Linked DNA regions of Macaca fascicularis. The protein of the gene in region 7 purifies or fractionates together with the protein of the main gene of each other region. This does not show direct contact. Links are inferred from orthologs where the notes say so. Each region holds a gene or a part of one and is shown on either strand. Other genes may lie near its edges. The genes, in order: SMARCAL1, ZUP1, RFWD3, RFC1, TOP3A, PRPF19 and RPA3.

Evidence for each region.
Region 1: the proteins of RPA3 (region 7) and SMARCAL1 purify together in Homo sapiens (affinity purification with mass spectrometry; 3 studies listed by BioGRID and IntAct, with this or other methods). This does not show direct contact. The link is inferred for Macaca fascicularis from reciprocal best matches to the Homo sapiens genes RPA3 and SMARCAL1.
Region 2: the proteins of RPA3 (region 7) and ZUP1 purify together in Homo sapiens (affinity purification with western blotting; 3 studies listed by BioGRID, with this or other methods). This does not show direct contact. The link is inferred for Macaca fascicularis from reciprocal best matches to the Homo sapiens genes RPA3 and ZUP1.
Region 3: the proteins of RPA3 (region 7) and RFWD3 purify together in Homo sapiens (affinity purification with mass spectrometry; 5 studies listed by BioGRID and IntAct, with this or other methods). This does not show direct contact. The link is inferred for Macaca fascicularis from reciprocal best matches to the Homo sapiens genes RPA3 and RFWD3.
Region 4: the proteins of RPA3 (region 7) and RFC1 purify together in Homo sapiens (affinity purification with mass spectrometry; 3 studies listed by BioGRID and IntAct, with this or other methods). This does not show direct contact. The link is inferred for Macaca fascicularis from reciprocal best matches to the Homo sapiens genes RPA3 and RFC1.
Region 5: the proteins of RPA3 (region 7) and TOP3A purify together in Homo sapiens (affinity purification with mass spectrometry; 3 studies listed by BioGRID and IntAct, with this or other methods). This does not show direct contact. The link is inferred for Macaca fascicularis from reciprocal best matches to the Homo sapiens genes RPA3 and TOP3A.
Region 6: the proteins of RPA3 (region 7) and PRPF19 purify together in Homo sapiens (affinity purification with western blotting; 3 studies listed by BioGRID, with this or other methods). This does not show direct contact. The link is inferred for Macaca fascicularis from reciprocal best matches to the Homo sapiens genes RPA3 and PRPF19.

Annotation. Positions count from the first base shown.
Region 1 is NC_088386.1:112,310,119-112,313,618, reverse strand, and holds part of SMARCAL1 (SWI/SNF-related matrix-associated actin-dependent regulator of chromatin subfamily A-like protein 1), read right to left. Parts: intron 2,278-3,500; coding exon 2,044-2,277; intron 1-2,043. UniProt on the Homo sapiens protein: ATP-dependent annealing helicase that binds selectively to fork DNA relative to ssDNA or dsDNA and catalyzes the rewinding of the stably unwound DNA. Rewinds single-stranded DNA bubbles that are stably bound by replication protein A (RPA).
Region 2 is NC_088378.1:20,658,688-20,662,187, forward strand, and holds part of ZUP1 (zinc finger-containing ubiquitin peptidase 1), read right to left. Parts: coding exon 3,388-3,500; intron 1-3,387. UniProt on the Homo sapiens protein: Deubiquitinase with endodeubiquitinase activity that specifically interacts with and cleaves 'Lys-63'-linked long polyubiquitin chains. Shows only weak activity against 'Lys-11' and 'Lys-48'-linked chains.
Region 3 is NC_088394.1:70,441,914-70,445,413, forward strand, and holds part of RFWD3 (E3 ubiquitin-protein ligase RFWD3), read right to left. Parts: intron 139-3,500; coding exon 1-138. UniProt on the Homo sapiens protein: E3 ubiquitin-protein ligase required for the repair of DNA interstrand cross-links (ICL) in response to DNA damage. Plays a key role in RPA-mediated DNA damage signaling and repair.
Region 4 is NC_088379.1:38,590,733-38,594,232, forward strand, and holds part of RFC1 (replication factor C subunit 1), read right to left. Parts: intron 3,173-3,500; coding exon 2,776-3,172; intron 599-2,775; coding exon 486-598; intron 1-485. UniProt on the Homo sapiens protein: Subunit of the replication factor C (RFC) complex which acts during elongation of primed DNA templates by DNA polymerases delta and epsilon, and is necessary for ATP-dependent loading of proliferating cell nuclear antigen (PCNA) onto primed DNA.
Region 5 is NC_088390.1:18,406,098-18,409,597, forward strand, and holds part of TOP3A (DNA topoisomerase 3-alpha), read right to left. Parts: intron 2,181-3,500; coding exon 1,498-2,180; intron 1-1,497. UniProt on the Homo sapiens protein: Releases the supercoiling and torsional tension of DNA introduced during the DNA replication and transcription by transiently cleaving and rejoining one strand of the DNA duplex.
Region 6 is NC_088388.1:13,367,166-13,371,172, reverse strand, and holds the start of PRPF19 (pre-mRNA-processing factor 19), read right to left. Parts: upstream 2,801-4,007; 5' UTR 2,599-2,800; coding exon 2,580-2,598; intron 1,667-2,579; exon of another isoform or gene 1,390-1,666; intron 122-1,389; coding exon 1-121. UniProt on the Homo sapiens protein: Ubiquitin-protein ligase which is a core component of several complexes mainly involved pre-mRNA splicing and DNA repair. Required for pre-mRNA splicing as component of the spliceosome.
Region 7 is NC_088377.1:122,832,888-122,837,097, reverse strand, and holds the start of RPA3 (replication protein A 14 kDa subunit), read right to left. Parts: upstream 2,801-4,210; 5' UTR 2,756-2,800; coding exon 2,657-2,755; intron 1,445-2,656; coding exon 1,370-1,444; intron 295-1,369; coding exon 186-294; intron 1-185. UniProt on the Homo sapiens protein: As part of the heterotrimeric replication protein A complex (RPA/RP-A), binds and stabilizes single-stranded DNA intermediates that form during DNA replication or upon DNA stress.

The DNA.
Region 1 (3,500 bases), on a different chromosome or scaffold from region 7:
TGGCACAGCAGCAATCAGGAAACGTTGTGAGCAACAGCTGAGGCAAAGGAACCAATCATGGTTTTTGGACATCCGGGTGTGAGCAGTATCAGTATCAATACTTTCATGGTACCCACTCCCAGAATGCAGACCATGTCAGGAGTGTGATCTCACAGGCCGGTGACAGACACACATCACTGTATTTGCCTTTTTTATCTTTTATTGAGATTGTAGCCCAGGCTGGAGTGCAGTGGTGCGATCTTGGTTCACTGCAACCTCTGCATCCCAGACTCAAGTGATTCTCCTGCCTCAGCCTCCCAAGTAGCTGGGATTACAGGCTGGAACCACCATGCCTGGTTAGTTTTTGTATTTTTAGTAGACAGGTTTCCATCATGTTGGCCAGGCTGGTCTCAAACTCCTGTGACCTCAGGTGATCCACCCACCTCGGCCTCCCAAACTGCTGGGATTACAGGCCATTGCACCCGGCCTGTATTTGCCTTTTACGGGCCACCCCAAGCAGAAGCCAGACATCCAAGGGGGCAGGAAAGGCAAAGGATCTAGGCTGTTGTGGAGCAGCTCATTTCACGACCCGTCTGGGCCTCGCACAACTCCCCTATGCCCTGCTCACCAGCCTGCCCTCATCAGTCCAAACTCCATCCACCTAAGGATGATGACGTAGCAACCAGCATCAGCCTCCCCCGGAAGGAACCAAAATCCTGATGAAAACTCTTGTTGAGCAAGCAATTCTAGAGGCTTCTTCCAGGACGATGCTTGAATGTGAGGTCTCAAAGGCATGAGGTTTTAAGTATTTAAGTTCTACCTGATTAAGAACAAGATTAAACCAATTCAAGAATGGGGAAACACCGATCCATAAAAACTATATCGTTTTTAAAAAACAATGTGGCCCAAGCTAAGAATGACACCCAGGAGTCCAGAATCTATAGCTGCTTCTCCTCTATTCTGATGGGGCAGCTTTTGAAGAACCTCACAAAAAGATAAAGCAAAACGACCAGGCGTGGTGGCTCACGCCTGTAATTAATCCCAGCACTTTGGGAGGCCAAGGCGGGCGGAGAAGTTCGAGATCAGCCTGGCCAACATGGTGAAACTCCGCCTCTACTAAAAATAAAAAATTAGCCCAGTGTGGTGGCGGGTGCCTGTAGTCCCTGCTACTCAGGAGGCTGAGGCAGGAAAATCACTTGAACCGAGGAGGCAGAGGTTGCAATGAGCCAGGATTGTGCCACTGCACTCCAGCCTGGGCAACCGAGTGAAACTCTGTCTCAAAAATAAATAAAATACAGCAAAACTATTCTGCCTTGGCCAGTAGATTTCAAGACTGGCTTATAATTAGGCTCATCTGAAGATTAAAAAAAAAAATGAAACAAACAAACAAAACAGCAATGTCCAAGCCCCACCTCAGACAAAATAAATCAACTTATCTGGATAAGAACTAGGCATCGGTGTTTCTAAAGTGGCCCCGTGATGCTGACGGGCAGGCCGAGAGGAGAACTATCAGCATTTTCAAACTATGGCACCATCACCAGCAGCAGCACCAGCTCAGAGAACTTGTGAGAAACGCAAATTTTTGGCTCCACGCTCAAGTTCCAGAATCAGAAACTCCGGTAGTGGGGCCCAGCGATCTGCGTTTTAACATCCCCTGCAGGCGGTTCCCTGCAGGCTCAAGTTTGAAAACCACGAAGTTTGCATATGGAAAAGCATTTATTTTTATGGCAACCACCTGTTTTTTTGCTCTGCAAAGGCCAAAATAAAAACAGATGGGTTTTAAATGGCTGAAGCAGGAATTTACCTGCTTCCACCAAGAAGGCATTGACCAGGGGGAAATTATGGGGTCTTCTCTTTGGAAGGCCTTAATGACAAAACAGCCGCCACTGTATGTTTACTATCTGGAATAATTAACGTGTCATCTTTCTATAGGAAGAGGAGCAGAACGGGAAGGCTTTCCCAAGAAAGTAAATTTTGAATATTCAAGGTAGAGAAAAACACCCTATGTTGAGATCACAGACCATACTACACATTCAGGGAATCAGACAAAGACCAATTACTTGCCGTATCTTCTGGAATCCATCTGTTTAAAAAGTGCAATCAGGTCCTGTGAATATCCGATGTCTGCCTCGAAGTAGGCCCTGGATATGAGCATGCATCGCCCTTTGACAAAGGAAAGCGACGGAGCTGATGGAAGGCCGGCCTGTCCCTCACTGCTGGTGGAGGGTGACTCGCTGCTGCCATAGGCCCATTCCAGAGGCTGCAGGTTGACCGTGGGGAGGCTCTGGGCTGCTTTCACTGCCAAAGAAGAAGAATCGAACAGAAGTGATAAAGCAGAGGGCTATGATGTGGCTTTGAAACACAGGCAAGGGAAGAGGGAGAAAGTGGGGAAGGGACATGTTCAAGAGGCACTAGGTTTGGCAGGAAGGCAAGAAAAGGCACTGTTAGATTAGGAAGGCTTGAAAGTGTTTTCTAGTTGGGGCTTTGGGAATTTCAATATTTGTTGAATGTAACTTTCCATCTCCTTAAGTTTTTCTTTTTTTTTTTTTTGAGACAGGGTCTTGCTCTGTCACCCAGGCTGGAGTGCAGTGCCATGATCAGGGCTTACTACAGCCTCAAACTCCCTGGCTCAAACCATCCTCCACCTCAGACTCCCCAGTAGCTGGGACCACAGGTGTGCACCACCACATGGGGTTAACTTTCGTATTTTTTGTCGAGACAGGGTTTCGCTATGTTGCCCAGGCTGGTATCAAACCCCTAAGCTCAAGCCATCTACCCGCCTGAGCCTCCTGAAGTGCTGGTATTACAGGCGTGAGGCACCATACCTGGCCTCCCTACATTTTTCAAATCAAAAAATTTAAAATTCAGAAATTAACAAGGGAAAGAGGAAGCTTACCAGGATGAATAAACTTATTAGATAATTTCTGGCACTGTGTTGGAGAAGCCACTGAGGTCAGCACACCACAAATCACCCAGTTAAGCCCACTCCTAGGTCGCTACTCTGTCTACTGCTCAGAGAAGAAAGGAGTGAGGACCAGGATCACCAGGTCACAAACGCACAGTTCTAAACATTATTTCATCTACTACAGATGCATTTTTATAATTAACAAATTCAACTGTATAACACTAAGCTGTCAACAGACACACACTGAAGTGAAAGGCAAAAACCCTGAGTAAAGAAATATAAAAAGAGCTTATGCTTTAAAAAAGTACTAAGACCACAAAAGAAGAGGATAGAGATGTAGCCAATTCAAAAAAGGAGGAAGAAGACTAACAAACATTTGAAGAAATGTTCACCTTCACAAATAATCAGAAAAATAAGGGACTTTTTTACTTATCAAACTTGTCAAAATTACTTATCAAAATTGATGAGAAACAATTAGACAACCATATTGCTAGTTGGGAATAAAACCTTCTAGAAAACAATTTGGCAATTATAGCAAGAGCTCTAAGAATAATGATTCAACTTCTGGGAATCTATCCCAACTACCAATTGAAAATACAGACCAAAACTTAGGTAC
Region 2 (3,500 bases), on a different chromosome or scaffold from region 7:
GACCAGTCTGGACAACATGGTGAAACCCCGTCTCTACTAAAAATAAAAATAAATAAATAAATAAATTAGTCAGGTGTGGTGGCACATGCCTGTAATCCCAGCTACTCAGGAGGCAGAAGCACAAGAATCACTTAAGCCTGGGAGGCAGGGGTTGAAGGGAGCCAAGATTGCGCCACTGCACTCCAGTCTGGGTGACAAACTGGAGACAGACTCTGTCTCAAAAAAAAAAAAAAAAAAAAAGAAAAAAGAAAAAGAATTACTTTAAAACTCAAAACATCAAAACATGACAGAGTATATATAATCTGAAAGTGTGAACAGATTGGCAAAAAGAAAAAGGAGGAAAGCAGAAATAAATTTAGAGGGCATTAAAATAGTTCTTTAAATTTAAGTTATTATATATACACACAATATTAGTTTTTCTATATAAACGAAAGAAATATTTTTACCTCTGAATCTAATCAATTAATGTGGTAAAAAGAATGTGATACACTGGTTAAATAACTTAGAAACAAACATAAAAGAAAATATAAAGCCATAAAGCTTAAGGCAAATGTTCCATTAAACATGATCACAGACATCTATCTCTATTTCCTCTTAAAAGCCCGATGACACAATACTGAAGGAGAAAATGATTTAAACATCCAAGGACAAAGAGAATGGGAATAGAGAGGAAAAAAGCTCACATCTTCAGAAAATGAAAAGCAGCACAGAGAACATATCCAAGTAAATAAAAGAAAATGGGCCAGGCACGGTGGCTCAAGCCTGTAATCCCAGCACTTTGGGAGGCCGAGACGGGCGGATCACGAGGTCAGGAGATCGAGACCATCCTGGCTAACACAGTGAAACCCCATCTCTACTAAAAAATACAAAAAACTAGCCGGGTGAGGTGGCGGGCGCCTGTAGTTCCAGCTACCTCGGGAGGCTGAGGCAGGAGAATGGCGTAAATCCGGGAGGCGGAGCTTGCAGTGAGCTGAGATCTGGCCACTGCACCCCAGCCTGGGCGACAGAGCCAGACTCCGTCTCAAAAAAAAAAAAAAGAAAAGAAAATGGAGACTGTATGTTTCAAAATCAGAGAGAGGCTGAAAGCTTAGAAGCACAAGGTTTGAGAACAGTGAGGCTAAAAATATGAGATTAATTGAAAGTTTGCTTCGAAGGCAAATCACACCTTAACTCTCCCCTCCACTAATGCAGGAACTCTAGGGAGGAAAGTGAAAAACTCTTCTCTGGATAACTTCTGGGAAAAGATCTCTCTATATAATGATCTTTGAGAGTACCCCAATCAAATAGTAACCTTCCACCTAAGACTTTTAAATGAAATCTGCTAATCTGCAAGCTCTATGCAGTCCTTTTTAATGTTTCATTAAATCAGCTTTTTAATGTTTCATTCTTCACTCTCTGAATGGACAACTAAGGATTTCCAAAAGTTAAAAGAAAGCTTTCAAAATAGAAAAGACTAAAGTAACAGACATGAAAATAAATTAATATGGAACAAACAAAATGCAGGCAATAGAAAGAAAACATTGGAAGAAATTTTGCAACCATAAAGAAAATGATGCTGTGAAATTACCCCTTAACATAATGGTGAAAATAAAAATTTCAATACAGTAATTGGGAGATAAATTTGAGTAAATCTAGAAAATAAAACAAAAGGCAAAGATTTTAAAGAAAAAGACATGATAAACTTAGAAGGTAAAGAAGTTCAGGCCGGGAGCGGTGGCTGAAGCCTGTAATCCTAGCACTTTGGGAGGCCGAGGCGGATGGATCACCTGAGGTCAGGAGTTCAAGACCAGTCTGGCCAACATGGTGAAACCTCGTCTCCACTAAAAATACAAAAATTAGCCAGGCATGGTGGCAGGAACCTGTAATCCCAGCTACTCAGGAGGCTGAGGCAGGAGAATCACTTGAACCCAGGAGGCGGAGGTTGCAGTGAGCCAAGATCGCGCCACTGCACTCTAGCCTGGGCAACACAGCAAAAACTCCGTCTCAAATAAATTTAAAAAAAAAGAGAAGTTCAGTGGCCATCTATCAACGGTTCCACAAAGAAAATGGAGGGATTATAACTATCAAACAACAATAGTTAACCTCTGAAGTCACGCTGTGTGCCAGTCACAGTTCTAAGCACTTTATTATTCCATTTAATTGTCTAACTACTATTAATACCTTCTTTTATCAATGGTAGACCTAGGTACAGATGAGCTCATTCATTCAGCTATTAAGTAGGAAAGGTATGAATCAAGGTTAGGCAGTCTCACTCCAAAGTTCAAGCTCTTACCTACTATCCTAGATGGAACTAAGATCTTAGACAACTCACAATTCCAGATTCAAAGAGAAAAACAAATGCCTAACACAATGAATCAAAGCCCTACACCCCACAATGAAATTTCATAATATCATGAAATTACGACGGGCTAAGAGAAGACTGGAAAAACTTCCATAGAAAATAAATAGGTTATACATTTTAAAAATGAGAATCTGATCACATCTTACCATCCTCAATAGTAATATTCATCGCTAGACATCAGAAGAATAGAAACTTAATTTGATGTGAAAATGATTGTAGAATTAAGAATAATATAGCCATCCAAACTATCATTTAAGTAATAATGACTAGGCACCCTTTCTCAGGAAACTAATGAAGGAAGTGCTCGAGCAAAAGGAAGTAACCTAAAAAAGAGACATGAAATCCAAGACAAATCCAGGTCCTAACACACACACACACACACACACACACACACACACACACACAGAGTGAACAAATGCTACATGATAATAGCTGTAGATCTAGAAGGCAAAAAGTCCAGATTGGAGCAAAGAGGACAGAAGGCTCCAAGAAGGATGTGTCCAAGAATAAGGAGAGCCTCAGATTACATGACAGGTGGGGTGCAAAAACTTGAGGCCATGATGTCGTCACATATTATAGTAAAAGAGAAAAGGAAACACAATTATTAACTCAAGAAAGAATTATAAATGATTTTAGAAAACAAAATCAGCAATAAGCAATATTTATGCAATTGTGTAATAAAATCTGACTTTATAAAATGATGTAAACTCTGATTTTAATAAAAACTGAGGTTTAATCATATTAGAAGGATTGAAGGTAAACAAGTATAAGATATTAAAACAGACAATACTTAAAACTCATAAACGAAGAAACAGCTATGAAAGCATACTATTTAAAAACAATGGAAGTGACAGTTGCCTCTGAGAGACAGGACTTGAGGGTAGAGGACAGCACAAGATAGTGAATAGGTTACTGATTTTCAATACTACTTAATTCAGTGCTACTTAATTTTATTTTTAAACTATCTCTTTGATAAAAAATAAAATTTTAAAAAACAAAGCTCCCAGATAAGGAAATAACATTTATTTAGGTTTTAAGGTACATACTTTACCCTTAGGGAGGTCAGGAGTATATATACTTCACATGCTCCAATCCAGGCCTTTGTTCCCTGTAACCTGTTATTAAGTTGAGAGGCCCCCTGAGGATCAAAACCTTCCTT
Region 3 (3,500 bases), on a different chromosome or scaffold from region 7:
TAGTGTTGTCTAGGGAAGCAGAGAGTAGCAAGCCTCTGGAGTAACTGCTAAAAGCCAGTCCACGGATCTGTTTGCCATGCATCGGAATGTACTGACTGCTTCTCATGTTGGCAGTACTCAACATCTTAACACCAAAGCCTGCCAAAGGCAAAATAGTATGAAACAGATCACTGAAAGTGAACCTAGGGCAATGCAAACTACTTTTTCAAGTAGCTTCTTTGTCCACCTTTCTTCGCATATAAGTCCCTGGGAACCAGCTGGTCAAACGACAATTCTCCAGTGTTATAATTTATTCATTTATTTTTGAGACAGGGTCTCACTCTGTCGCCCAGCCTAAAAAGCAGTGCATAATCTTGGCTCACTACAACCTCTGCCTCCTGGGTTCAAGCAATTCTCCTGCCTCAGCCTCTCGAGCAGCTGGGATTACAGGCACGCGCCACCACGCCCGGCTAACTTTGTATTTTTTGGTAGACATGGGGTTTCACTGTATTGGCCAGGCTGGTTTCGAACTCTTGGCCTCAAGTGATCTGCTCGACTTAGCCTCCCGAAGTGCTGGGATTACAGGCATGAGCCACTGCGCCCGGCCTATGATTTATTTAAAAAAGTACAACCCAGGCCGGGCGTGGTGTCTCACCTCTGTAATCCCAAACCTTTGGGAGGCCAAGGCAGGTGGATTACCTGAGGTCAGGAATTCAAGACAAGCCTGGTCAACACAGTGAAACCCTGTCTCTACTAAAAATACAAAAAATTAGCCAGGCGTGGTGGCAAGTTCCTGTAATCTCAGCTACTCGGGAGGTTGAGGCAGGAGAGTCGCTTGAACCTGGGAGGTGGAGGTTGCAGTGAGTCGAGATTGCACCCTACACTCCAGCCTGGGTAACCAGAGCAAAACTTGTCAGAGAAGGGAAGAGGAAGAGGAAGAGGAAGAGGAAGAGGAAGAGGAAGAGGAAGAGAGAAGAGAGGAGAGAGGAGAGGGGAGAGGGGAGAGAGAAGAGAGAAGAGAAAAGAGAGTACAACCCACGCTTGCCTCATGACAATGAAAAGAAGGAAAAAAAAAAAAAAGAAAAAGAAAAAGTATAACCCATTTCAAACGTCCAGGTAAATGGATAAACAAACCTACTGTATACAGGTATGATGGAATACTATCCATTAAAAAGGAATTAACTACTAACATATACTACAATAAAAAATCATGCAGTGAGAAAGAAGTCAGACCAAAAAATGGTTAACACTGTATGATTCCAATTATGTAAAATTCTAGAAAATACAAACTCATCTGTAGTGACAAAAAGCAGTGACTGCCGGGGATGGGAGAGGAGGGAGGGGCAGGTGAGATTATAAAAAGCCATAGGGAAACTTTTGGGGTAATACATATGTTCATGGCCAAGCATGGTAGCTTATGCCTGGAATCCCAGCACTTTGGGAGGCTGAGGTGGATGGCTCGCTTGAGCTCATGAGTTCGAGACCAGCCTGGGAAATATGGTGAAATCCTGTCGCTACAAAAAATATGAGAATTAGCTGGGCATAGTGGGGCGAGCCTGTACTCCCAGTTACTCGAGAGGCTGAGGTGGAAGGATGACTTGAGCCCAGGAGGTGGAGGTTGTAATGAGCTGAGATCACACCCCTCCCTGCATTCCAGCCTGGGAGATATAACTTGATCTTGTGTCAAAAAAAAAGTAGTTATCTTGATTGTAGTGATGGTTTCAGGGGTGTATTACATATGTGAAAAGTAATCAAACTGTATACTTTAAATATGTACAGTTTACTGTCAATTATACTTCAATAAAGCTGTTGAGAGAGAATATTTCACTAGAACCACACTCTAGATGCAGAAGGAACAGTGAACAATAGAGAATGAAAATAAATAATATGTCAGTCAAGATATGTCACATCTGTCTGAAATGAGACCGATGACAATTCAAGTACCCACATTCCCGAAAGGGGTAAAAATAACCAACAAAAACCAATAACCTTTGAAAACTATTTGTTACTCTGTTCTCTTACTAGGCTATAACATTTATTTTTAACTAAGTTATATATATAAACAGGGTCTCACTCTATCACCAATGCTAAGGTACAGTGGCACCATCACGGCTCACAGCAGCCTTGATCTCCTAGGCTCAAGTGATCCTCCCAACTCAGCCTCCCAAGTAGCTGGGACCAGAGAGGTGTGCCACCACACCAACCTAGTTAAAAAAAAATTTTTTTTTTATAGCGATGGAGTCTCACTATGTTGCCCAGACTGGTCTCATACTCCTGGGCCCAAACGATCCTCTCGCCTTGGCCTCCCAAGGTGCTGGGATTATAGGCATGAGCCACTGTGCCCAGTTGAGTTAAATTCTTTAAAAATGCATCAAATCCTAGATTCAAGACAGCTTCAGCTTCTCCAGGGAACCAAGTACGTGGCTTATTGCACTTTCTTCCAGCAGAATTAGGACAGCCAGAGAGGGGGCAAAAAAAAAGCAAGGGGTGGGGGTGGGTGCAGGTGCAGGTATAGGCTTTAAATCAACAAGGTCGCTGGGCATGGTGACTCATGCCTATAATCCCAGTACTTTGAGAGCCCAAGATGGGTGGATCACCTGAGGTCAGGAGTTTGAGACCAGCCTGACCAAAATGTTAAAACCCTCAAATACAAAAATTAACTAGGCATGGTGGCATGCACCTGTAGTCTCAGCTACTCAGGAGGCTGAGGCAGGAGAATCTCTTGAACCCAGGAGGCAGAGGTTCCAGTGAGCTGAGATCACACCACTGAACTCCAGCCTGCGCAACAGAGCGAGACTCCATCTCAAAAAGAAAAGAAAAGGAAAAAAAAAGAAAAAAAAAAAATCAACAAGGTAATAGAAATACACACCCAGTTAATCATTAAGGGGAACAAGGACAAATCAGCACCAGCACACTATCAAGCGGACTGGAATGGACACGTTAAGAAAAAAAGAACAGGGCCGGGTGCGGTGGCTCAAGCCTGTAATCCCAGCACTTTGGGAGGCCGAGACAGGCGGATCACGAGGTCAGGAGATCGAGACCATCCTGGCTAATACGGTGAAACCCCGTCTCTACTAAAAATACAAAAAAAAAAAACTAGCCGGGCGAGGTGGTGGGCGCCTGTGGTCCCAGCTACTCGGGAGGCTGAGGCAGGAGAATGGCGGGAACCTGGGAGGCGGAGCTTGCAGTGAGCTGAGGTCCGGCCACTGCACTCCAACCCGGGCGACAGAGCGAGACTCCGTCTCAAAAAAAAAAAAAGAAAAAAAGAACAGAACACATACCCAATTTGGGGAACATTAGAAAATAGTTATTTTTCCAATTTGTTGGTTCTATTTGATGACAAATCTTTTTATTAAAAACTTAGATGGGATAAAGGACCATTATAAAACCATGTTAAAGCAAAGGGGTCTTCCAGTTGGCAGAAATCTTATGCTAAAGACAGCAGAAAGAAACATCTGCAAGATTTAGAAATGATTTAATTGAGCATTTGAAAAGACTTGGATTTCAACATTTAGAAAACC
Region 4 (3,500 bases), on a different chromosome or scaffold from region 7:
ACAGGAACAAAGGCAGGACCACACAGTGCTGAAGAGTAGAACCCTGAGTCGTGCTACATGGGTGAAACCTGGGCCTCCACCCTCCTCCCTAAGCCTATTTCATTTCACACGTGTGGATGATGACAGTACAGATAATTATTCAGTACACAGAATTATTCAAGGGCATTAAGATATTTGCATCTTTCAGAGTCTAGAATACATGTTTTTGTTATCTATAACACACCCACGTGCTGAGCACGCTGCCTCGCTCATAGGTAAGTATTGCCTAGTACTTTAATTACCAATATTTTAAAAGGATTAAAATTACAAACATCACCAGAACCAAAACAGGTTCTAAAGGTTTTATTTTAGACAAATAAACACAGTTTATATATAGACACCACACACACACACACACACAGGCACACATGTGGGTACACGCTTTTATCTCCTAGCCATGACCACTTGAGGTTATCTGTCCAACCACACTGCGACAAAGTACCCACCTGACACACCAGGGAAGCTGTGGTGGTTTTGCCAACACCAGGAGGGCCTGACAGCAACGCTGCTTTAAAACTAGAGCCATCATCTTTGCCGGAAAATTTACCAAACTTTGCTGCTAGGAAAAAAGAAGTTCCAGAGTGTTAACCTATATCACCTAACAGAAATTCAGGCATGGCAGGGATAGTTGTGCCTAAACTTCGCATAGACAGCCATCCTCCAGTTTAGTTCTAAATTTGCAGAATATTTTCTACAAAACATAAACAAGTTTCCAGAGCATTCAGTGAAATTCTACTTCCTAGCTCACCTCCACCCAAAATAAAAAACTAAAACTAACTCACTTTAAAACTCTTGATTTGAAATAATAATTGTATGAGTTTCCTTCCCTGTGAATGCACAGGCCATGGAGCACGCTGCCGGGGCTCGATCCCGACTCCATCCATCCTCATGCCACCTCTCACCAGCCACGGTGAGTTAAAAGTAACTTAGCCCCTGTGACTGCCTCCTCCTTTGTTAGACAAGGAGAACAACAGTAAAGTTGCTACTAAGGATGTTGTGAGGACCGAATGGCTGAGCACAGAGCCATGCATGCTTCACTAAATGTTAACAAGCATAGTAGCTACATGGTCACAAGAAAAAAAACTGACTTGAAGATGCTGTGTCTGCAACTATCTTGTGCCCCTCAACACTAGACCAGCACTCTTCCTCCCCTCACCACGTGAGCACCTGGCACATACATCAGGCTCAACTCATACTCAATAACTGACAGAGACAATGGTTTTAAACCTACTGCCAGCAGGCATGCAGACAGGGACTACAGTTCACCTGAAGCTTTAAAACAGTCTTCTCGGCCAGGCACGGTGGCTCATGCCTATAATCTCAGCGTTTGGGGAGGCAGAGGCGGGTGGATCACATGGTCAGGGGTTCGAGACCAGCCTGGCCAGCATGGTGAAACCCCATCTCTACTAAAAATACAAAAAATTAGCCGGGCATGGTGGTGTGTACCTGTAGCCCCAGGTACTCAGCCTCCTGAACCCAAGCGGCAGAGGTTGCAGTGAGCCTAGATCACGCCACTGCACTCCAGCCTGGGCAATAGAGCGAGACTGTCTCAAAAAAAAAAAGTCGGCCGGGCGCGGTGGCTCACGCCTGTAATCCCAGCACTTTGGGAGGCCGAGGCGGGCGGATCACAAGGTCAGGAGATCGAGACCACGGTGAAACTCTGTCTCTACTAAAAATACAAAAAATTAGCCGGGCGCGGTTGTGGGCGCCTGTAGTCCCAGCTACTCGGGAGGCTGAGGCAGGAGAATGGCGTGAACCCAGGAGGCGGACCTTGCAGTGAGCCGAGATCGCGCCACTGCACTCCAGCCTGGGCGACAGAGCGAGACTCCGTCTCAAAAAAAAAAAAAAAAAAAAGTCTTCTCTGGGCACATGAAATGCCTGTCTCTCTTTTAGGGGAGATTTTATTAAGTTTCAGAATGAAAAAATGATTTAACTTAAATTGAGTCCTATACCATTACAATATATTATCTGTTTAAATAAACAGGCATCATCAGCAACGGTGATCGGCATCTAGTCATCACTGGTCTATGTTGACAACACTACTAAAACATTTGTGATCTCAAACCTCCGTTAAGAAATACTGTGGACATTAAATACATACTGGAGCTTTTCACTCTCCCCAATAAATACATCACAAACAAGGACAGAAACTACAGAAGCACAGGCCTATCAGGCCTGCCAGAGCAAATCGTGCTTGCTACCGGGAGTTGAGGCTGACTGCCCTGCACGCATGCCTCCGTTATTTATTCACACCTTTCCTCCTAGTGCCCTTGCCACTCAGGGGTCTTACTGTCACATGGCTTCAGACCTTGGGACACATACTCTTTCCTACCCAACACTCACCCCTCCCTCCCTTCGCCTAGCTACCTCCTACTTTGTTTCCAAGTCTTAGCTTAGCCATCCCTTCCTCCAGGACGGGAGGACACACACCCAGGCCCTGACCACACATCTTCATCCTCACAGCACCCTGGACTTACCCCTCTAGCAGTACTTGGCACAATACATTTTAATTGCTGGTTCAGATAAGCCTCCCCCACTGCCTGTGAACTCCTGAGAGGGACTGTTTTGTTCACAACACCACCAGCAGGGTCTAGTACTGCACCTGGGTTCAGATCAAGCTCTTAGTAAATGCTTGCTGACAGATGAATGAACCGTTAGATTTTCTTATATATGTGCCACTGAGCAATCACATGTTGATATACACACACACAAAAATGAGTGAGGCTGTAAAATCACCGTGTTTTTTATCTTCAGAAGAACTCTTGTGCCAGTTTCGGAGCCAGCGTAGGAGTTTGTTGGCACAGCTCTGGTCACCTTGCTGTCCAATTATGGTCTTGAGTGAGGTTGGCTTATATTTATCCACCCAGAGCAAATTTTCCACTTTGTTTTCACTGCTGTCATCAGCCAAATTCCTAGCCTTGCTGTCACCACTTGTTTCCTCGGCCACCTGCTCCTTGAAATCCAGGCCTCTCCAAAACACATCTGTTTCCTTTTTTATTGTCTTTGCCAAACTGTCCCTTTTGGAAGTCGGCTTGCTCTTTTTAGATTCCGATTCCTTTTTAGATGGACTAATTTTTCTTTTGCCTTGAACATTTTTTTGGGGTGTTCTCTCCAGTTTGGACTCTTTCTTCATCTTAAAGAGCAGAAAAGTGAGGAAAGAAGAAACCTGATGAAACATACAGAATTTCTATCCTGCTAAACGTACTACAGAGAGCAATCAGAGATATCCAGGTGGGCTATTCAGCCTGGGATGGTCTTGTCATGACAGACTTTCCTGTTTGTGGAAGTCACCACCTTCTAAACTATAAAAATTAACAAACACACCAGAAACCACCAAACGCAATTTCTAAAAGTGAGAACATGTTGGATTTTAGAAGTAATAAGTACTCCAATTTTAGTTTGGAAAAAACAAGGTATAGTGTTGAGATTTTTGTTTCAAAGTTTCCTAATTAAAAGTTAAT
Region 5 (3,500 bases), on a different chromosome or scaffold from region 7:
GCTGAGCTTTTTACAGAGGCAGAAACCCAAGCAAGCTGATCTGTGTGGTGGGGTGGGAAAGACAAGCAGCCTGTGACCAGCAACCTGCGACCCCTTCCTGTCCCTCAATGGGCCTTTCCAGACCAGCTGCCCATTTACCCAGGACAGTCAGCCAGCCAGTCTGGGGGTCAGATACCATGTCCTTCCAAGTGGGGAGACAAGAGGCCAGACTGCATCTCACTTCAAATGTGGGCCTCTCACTGCAATGGCCATCTCTGGGCCCCACTGGCACTAGTAGCCAGTTCCAAGTCCCACAGTTTTTACCAAGCCTCTGGGTTCTTCCTGTGCATGCCGGGCTGGTGACACATGTATAAGAATCATAGTCTGAGACTAAACTCCTTTCTAAAACAGGAATCCTATGAATGTAGGCAGGGGCCATCTTGTTGAGCAAACTTGAGGCAGAGAGGCTAAGTCATTTGTTCAAGGTTATACTGCTGAGCTTTGGAACCAGATTCACCCAACTCCAAAGCTCCCACTAGGCCTTTGGGTCATTCTCAGCTACTTAATTAAGCTCTGCTGTGCACTGGAGCAGGAGGAACCATTCAAAATGCCTCCACCTACACCACTCAACTTGATGCAATGTCTAGGTGCCACTTCTCATGACACCCAGTTCCCGGACATTGGCCTAAGCTGTGTCACCCTGGGCAGGTTCCTAAATATCATTGGGGTTGGTGTCTATCTGAAGAAATGAGGCTGGGCCGGGCATGGTGGCTCACGCCTGTAATCCCAGCACTTTGGGAGGCCAAGGCAGGCAGATAACCTGAGGTCAGGAGTTCGAGACCAGCCTGACCAACATGGTGAAACCCATGTCTCTACTAAAAATACAAAATTAGCTGTGCGTGGTGGTGCATGCCTGTAATCCCAGCTACGTGGGAGGCTGAGGCAGGAGAATCACTTGAACCCGGGAGGTGGAAGTTGCAGTGAGCCAAGATCGCACCACTGCACTCCAGCCTGGGCAACAAGAGCAAAACTCAGTCTCAAAAAAAAAAAAAGAAATGAGGCTGATGCTTATGGTCTGCCAAGGGTCACAACAGCTGCAAGGGCACAAGGCCATTTGGGAAGGCCTATGTCCTCATTCTGGTGTCTGTTGCTATGGGACCCTGAGCAACGCCCACTTCATGTGTCTGGGTCTCACCTTTCTCACTTGTAAGTAAAATTGTGATCATAATGCTTACCCGATGAGGATGGAAGATGCATAGGAAGTATACTTAGCACAGTGCCAGGCATAGGGCAAATGACACCATTACTGGTAGCTACCCTTTAATCTAGAATGAGGACTGTACAATCATCACCTTGCTGAAAGTGATCAAGTGAGGAAACAGAGGTGCAAGGCAGCCCAGGTGCCCTTCCCAATCCCACCATGACCCTGCCTTGCCTTCTTTCTGCTGTCCCCAGTCTTCTCTGAGGTAGATACCTGAAAACCCAAGGCAGGGATTCCCATGCCCCTCCCTGCCTCACCTGGAGCGGTGTTCTCATCGACCCACTGGAAGAAGCCACACTGCTGCTCTCTCGGCTTGGCACACGTGTGGAACTGGCGCCCCTTGTTGGGCCCATCCTTCTGTACAGTCCGTGTGACGGCGGGCTGGCTGCACAGGCAGGATGTACCAGTACCACTGCCATCACCAGGATTGCCAAACCCACCCAGGTGGATCCCTGGGCCTGGTGGGCGTCCCAGGGAGCCGCCTAGGGGTCTATATGCCGAGGCGGGAGGCCCTCCTGCTCCCTGATTGGGGCTGTCTGCCCACAGGAAGAAGTTGCAGCTACCCCCGTTACACTTAAAGAATTGCCGGCCCTGGTTGGGGCCCTCCTTACGGACAGTAAGCAGCACAGCCTCCTGGCCACAGTTGCAGGTCACAGAATTGCTTTCACCAGCAGCCGTGGGTGGTGGGAGGGTCTGGGCCAGAGCCTTTGAGGGCCCAGTCTGTCTGCTGTCAGCAGGCTGGGGGTGCTGGCTATTGTCCATCCTGTTCAGAGACTGGCTAGCCTGCAGGTGACCAGAGGGCTGGATAGCCCTGGGGGGGCCCCGTGAAAATCTCAGGTCCAGGATCTCCCTCAGGGTCTCGTCGCATCCACCGATGCAGCAAACAAACTCCAGAGGCATGGTCGGGGGAAGGCTACCGCGCTTAAACTTTAACTTCAACCTAGTGAGGCCAGAAGATGGGAAAAAACATTAACAACCAGGTGCCAGCTTCTCCTTAGTCCACTGAGGGCTGCTTTAGCCCTAGGCCTCTCTCCACCATTCCTTATGCATCAGGAAGCCCACGCAAGTCCCCTGTGAGGCCCTCTGTCAGCCCACTACAAGCCCTTGCCAGTCATCACAGGAGTGGACAGTGGGAAGCAGTGCAGATGACATCTAAGATCCCAGTAATTCACTAAAATAAAAACACCTCTGAGAAGTTCCATGTCTCTATATCAGCAGTTCTCCAAGTGTGGTTCCAGGGTGCCTAAGCCCTTCCAAGGAGAATGCAAAACTATTTTATAGGCCGGGCGTGGTGGCTCATGCCTGTAATCCCAGCACTTTGGGAGGCAGAGGCGGGTGGATCATTTGAGGTCAGGAGTTCGAGACCAGCCTGACCACCATGGTGAAACCCTGTCTCTACTAAAAATACTAAAAAAATTAGCTGGGCATGCTGGCATGTGTCTGTAGTCCCAGCTACTTGAGAGGCTGAGACAGGAGGATCGCTTCAACCTGGGCAGTGGAGGTTGCAGTGAGCTGAAATTGTGCCACGACACTCCAGCCTGGGTGACACAGTGAAGACTCTGTCACCCACACAAAGATTTTTATAATAATTCTAAGGCCGGGCATGGTGGCTCATGCCTATAATCCCAGCACTTTGGGAGGCCGAGGCAGGTGGATCACGAGGTCAAGAGATTGAGACCATCCTGACCAATATGGTGAAACCCCATCTCTACTAAAAATACAATAATTAGCTGGGCGTGGTGGCACGTGCCTGTAGTCCCAGCTACTCAGGAGGCTGAGGCAGGAGAACCTCTGGAACCTGGGAGTCAGAGGTTGCAGTGAGCCGAGATTGCGCCACTGCACTCCAGCCTGGCGACACAGCAAGACTCTGTCTCAAAAAAAAAAAAAAAGAAAAAGAAATTCTAAGACGTTATGTCTATTTTGCTCTTATTCTTCCATGTGTATAAAATGGAGTCTCCCAGAGGTGCCAGCACATGCAATGACTCAGCAGACTGACTGCAGAAGCAGATAGGGGAATCTAGCTCTCTTCTATTAAGCCAGACATACAAATTGCAAAATGTAAAACAATGTCATTCATGTCATTGTTATTTTGCTTTGGAAAATAAGTATTTTATTACCCTAAAAAACACAGTATTTACGGTAGTATGCAATGCATTTGCTAGAAATAAATCATTAATTTTTTTTTTTTTTTTGAGACAGTCTCACTCTGTTGCCCAAGCTGGAGTGCAGTGGCATGATCTCGGCTCACTGCAACCCTCAC
Region 6 (4,007 bases), on a different chromosome or scaffold from region 7:
AGAGGCTGGTTGTTGATGGGGTCGGTACCATTCTCTGCAATGTACTTCTCAATGAGCCGCCGCTCATAAACATGATTAGAGACAGGGGACACACATGGGTGCTCCGGCACTTCATTAGAGACTGTAGAGAAAAGGCCGGCAGTGAGCTTGGAGTGAAGGCAATCTTGAGCCTAGAGGATTCCTCATCTGCTATTAGCCCCAACAAGACTAGGCATCCTCACAATCAACTAGCAAAAAGCAAGACATCTGACCCTAAGCCAGTTCTGTACTGGCCCCAGAACGCTTTCCAGCTGTGGAACTAGCTTTTCCTTTAGTCTCCTGACAATCAGATAGTCAACAAATAATTATTAACAACTACTATGTGCCAAGCACCTAGAGAACAGCAGTCCATTATCGCCACCTAATATCTGAACAATGATTGTGTACTCTATGAATACAGTTTACTCCATGACATGGAGACACACATGAAGCCATTCAAATCCCTTCCATCCATCTTAGTCTATAGCTCCAGAGGGATTATCAAAGAAATCATAAAGTCTGAGAATATAGGAATAACAAACTCAGTTTCTCCCATTCTCTCACAAAACAAAATACTTCTGTGACAGATGTGACCATCCGGGTGTCCTCCAATTCAATTCTGACACCAGGTACCTGGAGATAGTGTCAGATCACACGGGTTGAGGTCTCAGTCCCACCAGACTCCCCCACCCCTTCAGATGCCAATCGCAAGCTCCAGGTTGTTTGACCTGTTCTTCTGATCTACCAGCTGTAAATCAGGGTTCCCATGACCCCCTTTTTGGGTTCAATTAATTTTCAACAGTGACTCACAGAATTGTGGGAAACACTTATGTTGACCAGTTTATTATAAAGGATATTACAAAGGGTATAGATGAAGAGGTGCATAGGATGAGGTATGGGAGAAGGAGTACAGAGTTTCCCATGCCCTCCCTGGGCACCCCACCCTCCAGGAACGCCCACATGTTCTGCTATACAGAAGCTCTTTGAATCCTGCCCTTTTGTATTTTTATGAAAACTTCATTACAAAGGCATGATTCAATAAATCACTGGTCACTAGTGACAACTTCAGCCCCTCTCGTTCCCCAGGTAAGTGGGAGGTAGGACTGAAAATCCCAACTTTCTAATACCCTTTAGTCTTTCTAGGTGACCAGTCCCCATCCTGAAGCTATTGACGTCTGCCAGCTACCAGTCAACTGATTAGGATACAGGCAGACACTTATCACCTGGAAGATTCCAAGGAGCAAAGTGGCAATCATTACAATAAAAATATTTACATGGCACATGTCTATGTGCCAAGCACAATTCTAGGCATACAGTACAGTAATTCATGTTCACAACAACCCGCAATAGAGGTATCATTTACACTCTTGCCTGCATAGACTGTGCGCCCCTTGAGGATAAGGATTACAGCTGGTCTCTCACTTCCAGTACAATGCAGATGCCCCCAGGGCACTCGGTAAACATCTAACGAATGAGTGAACCCTGCCAGGAAAGATAGTGCTGGGGAACGTAAAAGAGAGCTTTCCCAAGACTGGAAGGAAACAATGAATGTGAAGGTACTTTGCGAGCTGTAATTTCTTCAATGTGAGAGATTCCTTTTCCATCATTTCCCTTCCTTCTTCCCCCTCTCTGGATCAACGTACAGGTTCTGAGAAGAGACGGAGGTGAATAGCAAAAGGGAGGGGAAACGAGTAATCTGATGAAACAACGAAAAGGGAAAGGAAAACGTATGTACGTCATGATAAAATATCAAAGGGAAAGATAGTGGAAGGTATGGAAAAAGCAAGGATTCAGGCTCCAAACTCCGTGTCACCTAACTACGTCACCCAGCTCTGCCATTGACTAGCTACGCATTCTTAGATAAGCCCCGCTCTTCCTGAGCCTTGCCTCCTCATTTGCAACACCAGGATCTTTTCTCCTTTAGGGAATTCTTGTGAGGATAAAATGAGATCCTAGACTTGGAAGCGCGTTGTAAACCAATAAGGGCTTTATAAATGTGCGCTGTTTTTAATTAGTCATACACTGTAAGGCTGGGAGCCATATACCTAGCTGCCAGCCTTGCCTACCTCTAACTCATCATGTGACCTTTACAAATTGCAAAAGCTGCGACTATCCGAGCAAGGCCTCACAAAATATCCAGTGCAATGCTCTCAATTTTGCAGATGGGGAAACCGAGGCACAGAGCCTTAAGCCAATTCACAAAGCCAACAGGAGGCGGACCCTGGACAAGACCTCGGGTTTCCTGACTCTTACATCAAGGCTGTTTCCCCTGCACCAGCTCCCTCTGTCCAGGCCTGTTTCCACTCGGTAGAATGAGGCGACCTGCCTCAGTAATGCCTGCGACAATAAACCTCCGGCACTATGTAAACTGCGGAGCACTGCGCAAATGCACCCCGCTCCGAGGGGAGGGCTCCGGGGCTGACAGGCCGCCGCTCTGCCTCTGGAGCGCCCCATTCCCGCCTCCACCCCGGCCCCGGCCCCGGCGCCGCAGTGGCCCGCACACGCTCCCGCGCCGCTCTCCGGCCTCCTGCGACCCGCGCTCGGCCGCAGGCAACACTCACTGGAGCAGATTAGGGACATGGCGCCGTTGCCGCGCTCCCAGGCGCCACACGCCGGACTCCGGGACTGGCTTCTGAGCCTCCGCGAGCCACTTCCGGTCCCCCGCTGCTGCCGGGACTGCTCAGCTGCGAGCTGGGAGCCGCCAGTCGAGCGATGCTCGCGTAGCGCTTCACGTGGGAATGGGGACAGCCGCGCGCCACTGCCTCCAGCACCTAACGGAAATGGACCTTTCCCAGAATGCAGCCGGGCAGGAAAGGGCCCGCCACGAACACTCGGTTATTTCCGGATTGACTCGGCTCGTTCCGTAAAGCGCCCGGGGATTGGCGGGGGCGTCGGAAGAGAGGAGACTCGAAACTACATTTCCCATGATGCAGTGAGAACTTAAAACCAAAGCAATTGGACAGCACTTGTTTTGACAACTGTGCGGCACTGTGTCACGGGACCCTGGTCTTTGAAACCTTGGTGTGCGCGAGAATTTCCCAATTTCCCATTGTTAAAATGCAGATTCCTCGGATCTGCGTAGACAGACTGCCCCCCACGCTATTCTAAGTCAGGTGTTTCTCGGGCCACCCTTTAAGAGACACTGCTGGATGGCCTGGTGTTAAAAATACAGAGGCAGATGGGTACAGGAACTAAGAAAACGGCTAAGACAGCGTTTTGGTCCTGACTACTACCGTTTCGCTCTGTGATTTGGGGCAATTCACATTGGCTTCCCTGCCCTTTCTTCTTTGTCAAAAGACAAAATCACAACAAATTTAGTTTAAAGTTTTTTGTTTGTTTGTTTTGTTTTGTTTTTGTTTTTGTTTTTAAGAGACGGACTCTGGCAATGTTGCCCAGGCTGGAACGCAGTGGCTATTCACAGGTGCAATCGTAGCAATCATGGCTATCACAGGTGCATCCTGGAACTCCTGGGCTCAAGTGATCCTTCTGCCTCAGCCTCCAGAGTAGCTCTGGGACTTAGGGTGCAATTCTATAAAATTGGGCAGCGCCTTACACTATAAAATCTAATGGTTGTTCCAATGAGCTGAACAGGGGAGCTTGGTTTTTTAGACAGAAAAGGACTGAGGAAAACAGAAACAACAAAAATGGGATTGGTCATTTGGTAATCTCAAAATTACTTTTCTTGTAAAGGTTAAAGTGGAGGGTACTTCTTTATCATGCCATGTAAAACTTGCCTGTTTGGGAATTTAGCTCTCCCTGCCAACACACATGCACACACACACTCTCTCTCAGAAGGTCATAAAGATCTTAGTTTCAGCTCATTGGGGTGGAACTTCAGCAGGACTCTTTTTAGCTTGGTCTGTTAGGCCTAGCGCAAGAGCTCAGTCCAAACCAGTGGCCTCTTATCAATTTATTTTGTATTTTCTGTTTCTCTTCCAGCTCAGATAGTGTATGATTCTTTGTGGATATCTGTAAGATAAGATACTCTC
Region 7 (4,210 bases):
TATAAGCACTACTTAGAAGCAGGTCAAAACAAAATGTACCCCCATTTTCCTTTAGGATCACAAAATTCTATAGAAATTGAAAATATAGCAGTACTAATTCTTTAGCCCAATATATATCAAATTAAAAATAAAAAGTTTTCCTGCTAATTACATAAAACCAGTCAATACTAGAATGCTTTATTTACCAAAAGGATGGTTATCTTCTTTAAACTGGACATAAGATGTACACAAGATGGTGGCCTTGGTGGTTACTTTTCCAACCACTTCCATAATTCCAGAGATTTCTTCATCAAGCTAAGGCACAGAACAAGACGTCAATTTGGTGTTACCACATTTTCAGTTGACAATTAATTTGGAAAACTGTTATACAGGTTACTAATCTTTCACTTCAAGTAACAAAGTAATTTTAAAAATTACCAATGCAAAAGTTAAAATGTAACTTGTTAACAAATGTTTGAGTACTTAACTGTCAGCATGTTAACATTCCTGTTACATTTACTAGCAGCTTCAAGTACAAAGCTACAATTCAAGTTAAAGCCGAAATCGCTATTGAAAATGTCCAGCATTTCTATAAGCAGTAATTTCCTATGAGAGGAATCTTCTATAATCTGTATTTCACAATGTGTTCTGTACACATTAACCAAACAGCATATGGATTTGTCTTCACAAAATGCCAAAACAAGTTTTAAGTATTTTAAACATAAAATGCAAAAATAAATAAGTAAAAACTGAAATATATGAACAAAAATAGAAAATAAAATAAAATTTAAAACTTTGAGGGACAGGTCGAGGCAGGAGGATTGCCTGAGACCAAGAGTTCAAGACCAGCCTGAGCAACATAGGAAGACTCCATCTCTACAAAAAACAAAACAAAACAAAAATTAGCCAGGCATGGTTGAGCATGCCTGTAGTCTCAGCTACTGGGGAGGCTGAGATGGGAGCAACTTGATCTCGGGAGGCTAAGGCTGCAGTGAGCCACGACGGTGGCACTGCATTCCACCCAGGGCAACAGAGTGAGACCCTGTCTCAAAACAAAAAACAAAAACAAAACAAAAAACCTCTTGAGGAAGAAAAAAACAATTTAAATTTTTCTTATGTGATTTTATGGTCTTTCATAAGGAATGAGAATTGTTATCCAGCATTTATGGGATATTTTCAAAAATCATGAAGCCCAAAAAATCATTGGTTAAAAATGTAAAAGGAAATATAATGAGAGAATAGTACAAGAATTTAATTTTTGAGCCAGGGACGTTTTACCAGCTCATCCTTTTTAAATTCATTCCAAAAAATTAGACACATTGGCAACAAACCAAATCCATATGAAGAATTAACTATAATATATATGAGACTTATTAATATTTAAACATACGGGTTCCATCAACTCGATGGTTCCATTTTTTCCTTCTCCATCTGAAAGAATAAACATTTTTCCAGTGGGATGAATCTAAAAACGAAACATAAGATTAAAATCTCACTGAAACAACAAAAAAGTTTGACAAACGATGAGTACATTGATCCTTAATTGAGCACAAATCAACTGTTTTTTGAACAGTTTATTCGTTCTATTCATTCAGTTTATTCAACTTATTAGTTCAAATTATAATCTTATGTTACCAAATGTCTTCATGGAACACAGTTAATTTTGAATCTCAGATAAACAAGGATTTTTTTTTGGTAGTGTATAAGTAGGTTCTGTATTTGCTAAATATGGCAACCCTATTCTAATAACAAATCAAAGGAAGCCCACCCTATCGAAAAGTGAAAGCTGCTGGCACTCATGATTTAGACAGCACATATCCCATGGAGGGTATGTTTTAAAAATCAGGCATGATGAAGTAAAAGGAGAACTGGTTGCTAGAATATCTGTGTCTACTCCTGGGAAGCAGCTGTAAAGAGCGCTGTCAGATCGCGTTTGAATGCCACCTTTGCCACTTGCTGAGTTTCTGAGCATTTTAGTCAACCACCTACCACTCATACTCAGTTTCCCTACTTGGGAAGTCAAAGCAACACTCATTTAAGGAAAAGGATGTGTGGATGAAATGAGCTACTAAATAAGTCTTTATATAATAGTTTTCTTTTCCTCAGCTTTTCAGGTCACTGATTCCAAGACTTTGGGCCTGTTTCTCGCCTGTAGAATGAGGGAACTTCACTTTAATAGTGGGGTTAGATAACTCACTACTACGGGACCCAAAGCGGACAATCAAGGCATGTTTTACAGAGAAGCGATTACGAGGAAACGAGGTTTGCAAAAAGAAGTAATTTCAGAAGAGAAGGAATCCAGCAGATTAGTTTTGTCGGCGTCCGTGACGTCTGAGTAAACTAAGAAATCTGAAGCTAGATGTGGGAGTCGTGTTTATAATTTCCCCTACGTAAGCACGGCCAGAACGGAGGCGACGGGCACTGGAATTTAGAACGCAGAGCATCTGAAAACACCTTGTTTCCGTGTCATAAAAGAGGCACCAAAATGGGGCTACAACGGCTAAAGAATTTCCAAGAAGTCTCCTTTTGCAAAATAAAGGATTCGGGAGCGCAGTGATCTGAGGCTTTCCGTCCTTTTTCATCCGCCGTTATCCACTTAGAATCCGCCACCCAGGCGGTCATGGGGTCCCTCCCTCCAGCTACGGACAGGGGAGCCCATGACTGCGAACCCGCATACCTTTTCCAGCCTCCCTACGAAGCAGACAGGCTTGTCGATGAACTGAGCTAGCATGCCGACGTTGATGCGCGACCTCGGTAACTCCATCATGTCCACCATGATTATGGTCCAAGACTGCAGCTGGCGGGAAACCCACGAACTACTGAAACTGTGCGCCCCGCGGGTGTCTATGGGGCAGATTTCCCGGCACCAATCAGCGAAGACTAGCGCTCCAGCTTCGCCAATTAAATGCGCGGAAAACTAAATCGCAATCGCGCTGTCACTGAAAGGGGTGGAGAAGGGGCGGGATGCGTCCGGAAGTGGAGATTGGCTGCTTAGTGACGCACGGCGTCCTGGAAGTTGCCTGACACAGGGCGAGAGGCAGTGGAGGCGGGGCTTGGATAGGGGCGGAACTTGAGGCTACCCTTCTGCGATCACTGGATTCTCGGCGGTGACTTGACCCCGGAAGTGGGGTGTGGAGCTCCGGTGCCGGTGCGGCGGCGGACTGCGGCGCGAGCCTCAGGTACCTCTTCTCGCGGGAGGCGCCGCAGCCTTACTATTTCCCCATTCTTCCCGCGGACAGAGTCAAAAGAGCTAGGCGGGATTTCGGTACCAGCTGCTGCCGCGGTGCTGTGGGTGCTGCGTACCAGCTGTTACTGTTGCCTCGCCTTCCCTCTTGCCGGTTCTGCGTGGGAGGCGCGGGAGTTTTGCTGAATAATATGTGGTGTGGCGTCGGGGTTTTGATACCAGCCCCCTTGGAGATGGGGAGAGGGGTCATCAGTGATCTTGATCACTTTCTTCAGGCTTTTGCCACTTGTTGGCTGAGGGTCGATTTACTCCTTTCGCTGCGTCACTCTACTTTCTCCAGTTTCTCCACCTGTAAGAAGAGAGAGTGACTCGATTACTTCTAAGACGTTTTTTAGCCCAACCTGGCCACACTGCGGAGGTGCCGGTTCTCTCACCCCGCTACCTCCTCCGCGTTGGCAGCCAATAGAAGCAATTAAGGATGGGTAACGGAGAAGGACTACTGGCCACTACCAGAGGAGACAAGCTTAAATCGTTGTTAGACCCCGAGTTAGTGTTCCCCGAGCTAGGGTTCCCCCTTCTGAGGCGTATTTTCCCCATCCGCAAAACGAAGGGTTAGGCGGAATGATTTGCAAGGTACCGGTTGACCCTAACTTTTGGCGGTATGTTTGACTCAACAGTTTAAACCCCCTCAGCAGTCTTTCTACTCTGGAGGGCGATCTGGAGGTCTGGAAGATAACCGATTCCTGGGAGATTGGGGGTAGTCTCCAATCTGTCCCTGGCTCATCTTGAGACCCGAAGCCGGCGGCCTTGCCAGGAATATTCTAGAGTGAATACGCATAAAAATACCTTCAAACGGTACTGTGCAAATGGGACAGAAGTTTTAATTGGGTATTATAACTTTGTGGAAACTGAGTGTGAATTTGCCCAAAGCTACAGAATTGTCATCGTTCAAATTCCCTTAAGCAAAAAAGATCCGATTTGAGACTTGACGTGGCAATTTAAGATTGGAATCTCATGTACGATAATTAAATGATAGTCTCCCTTAGT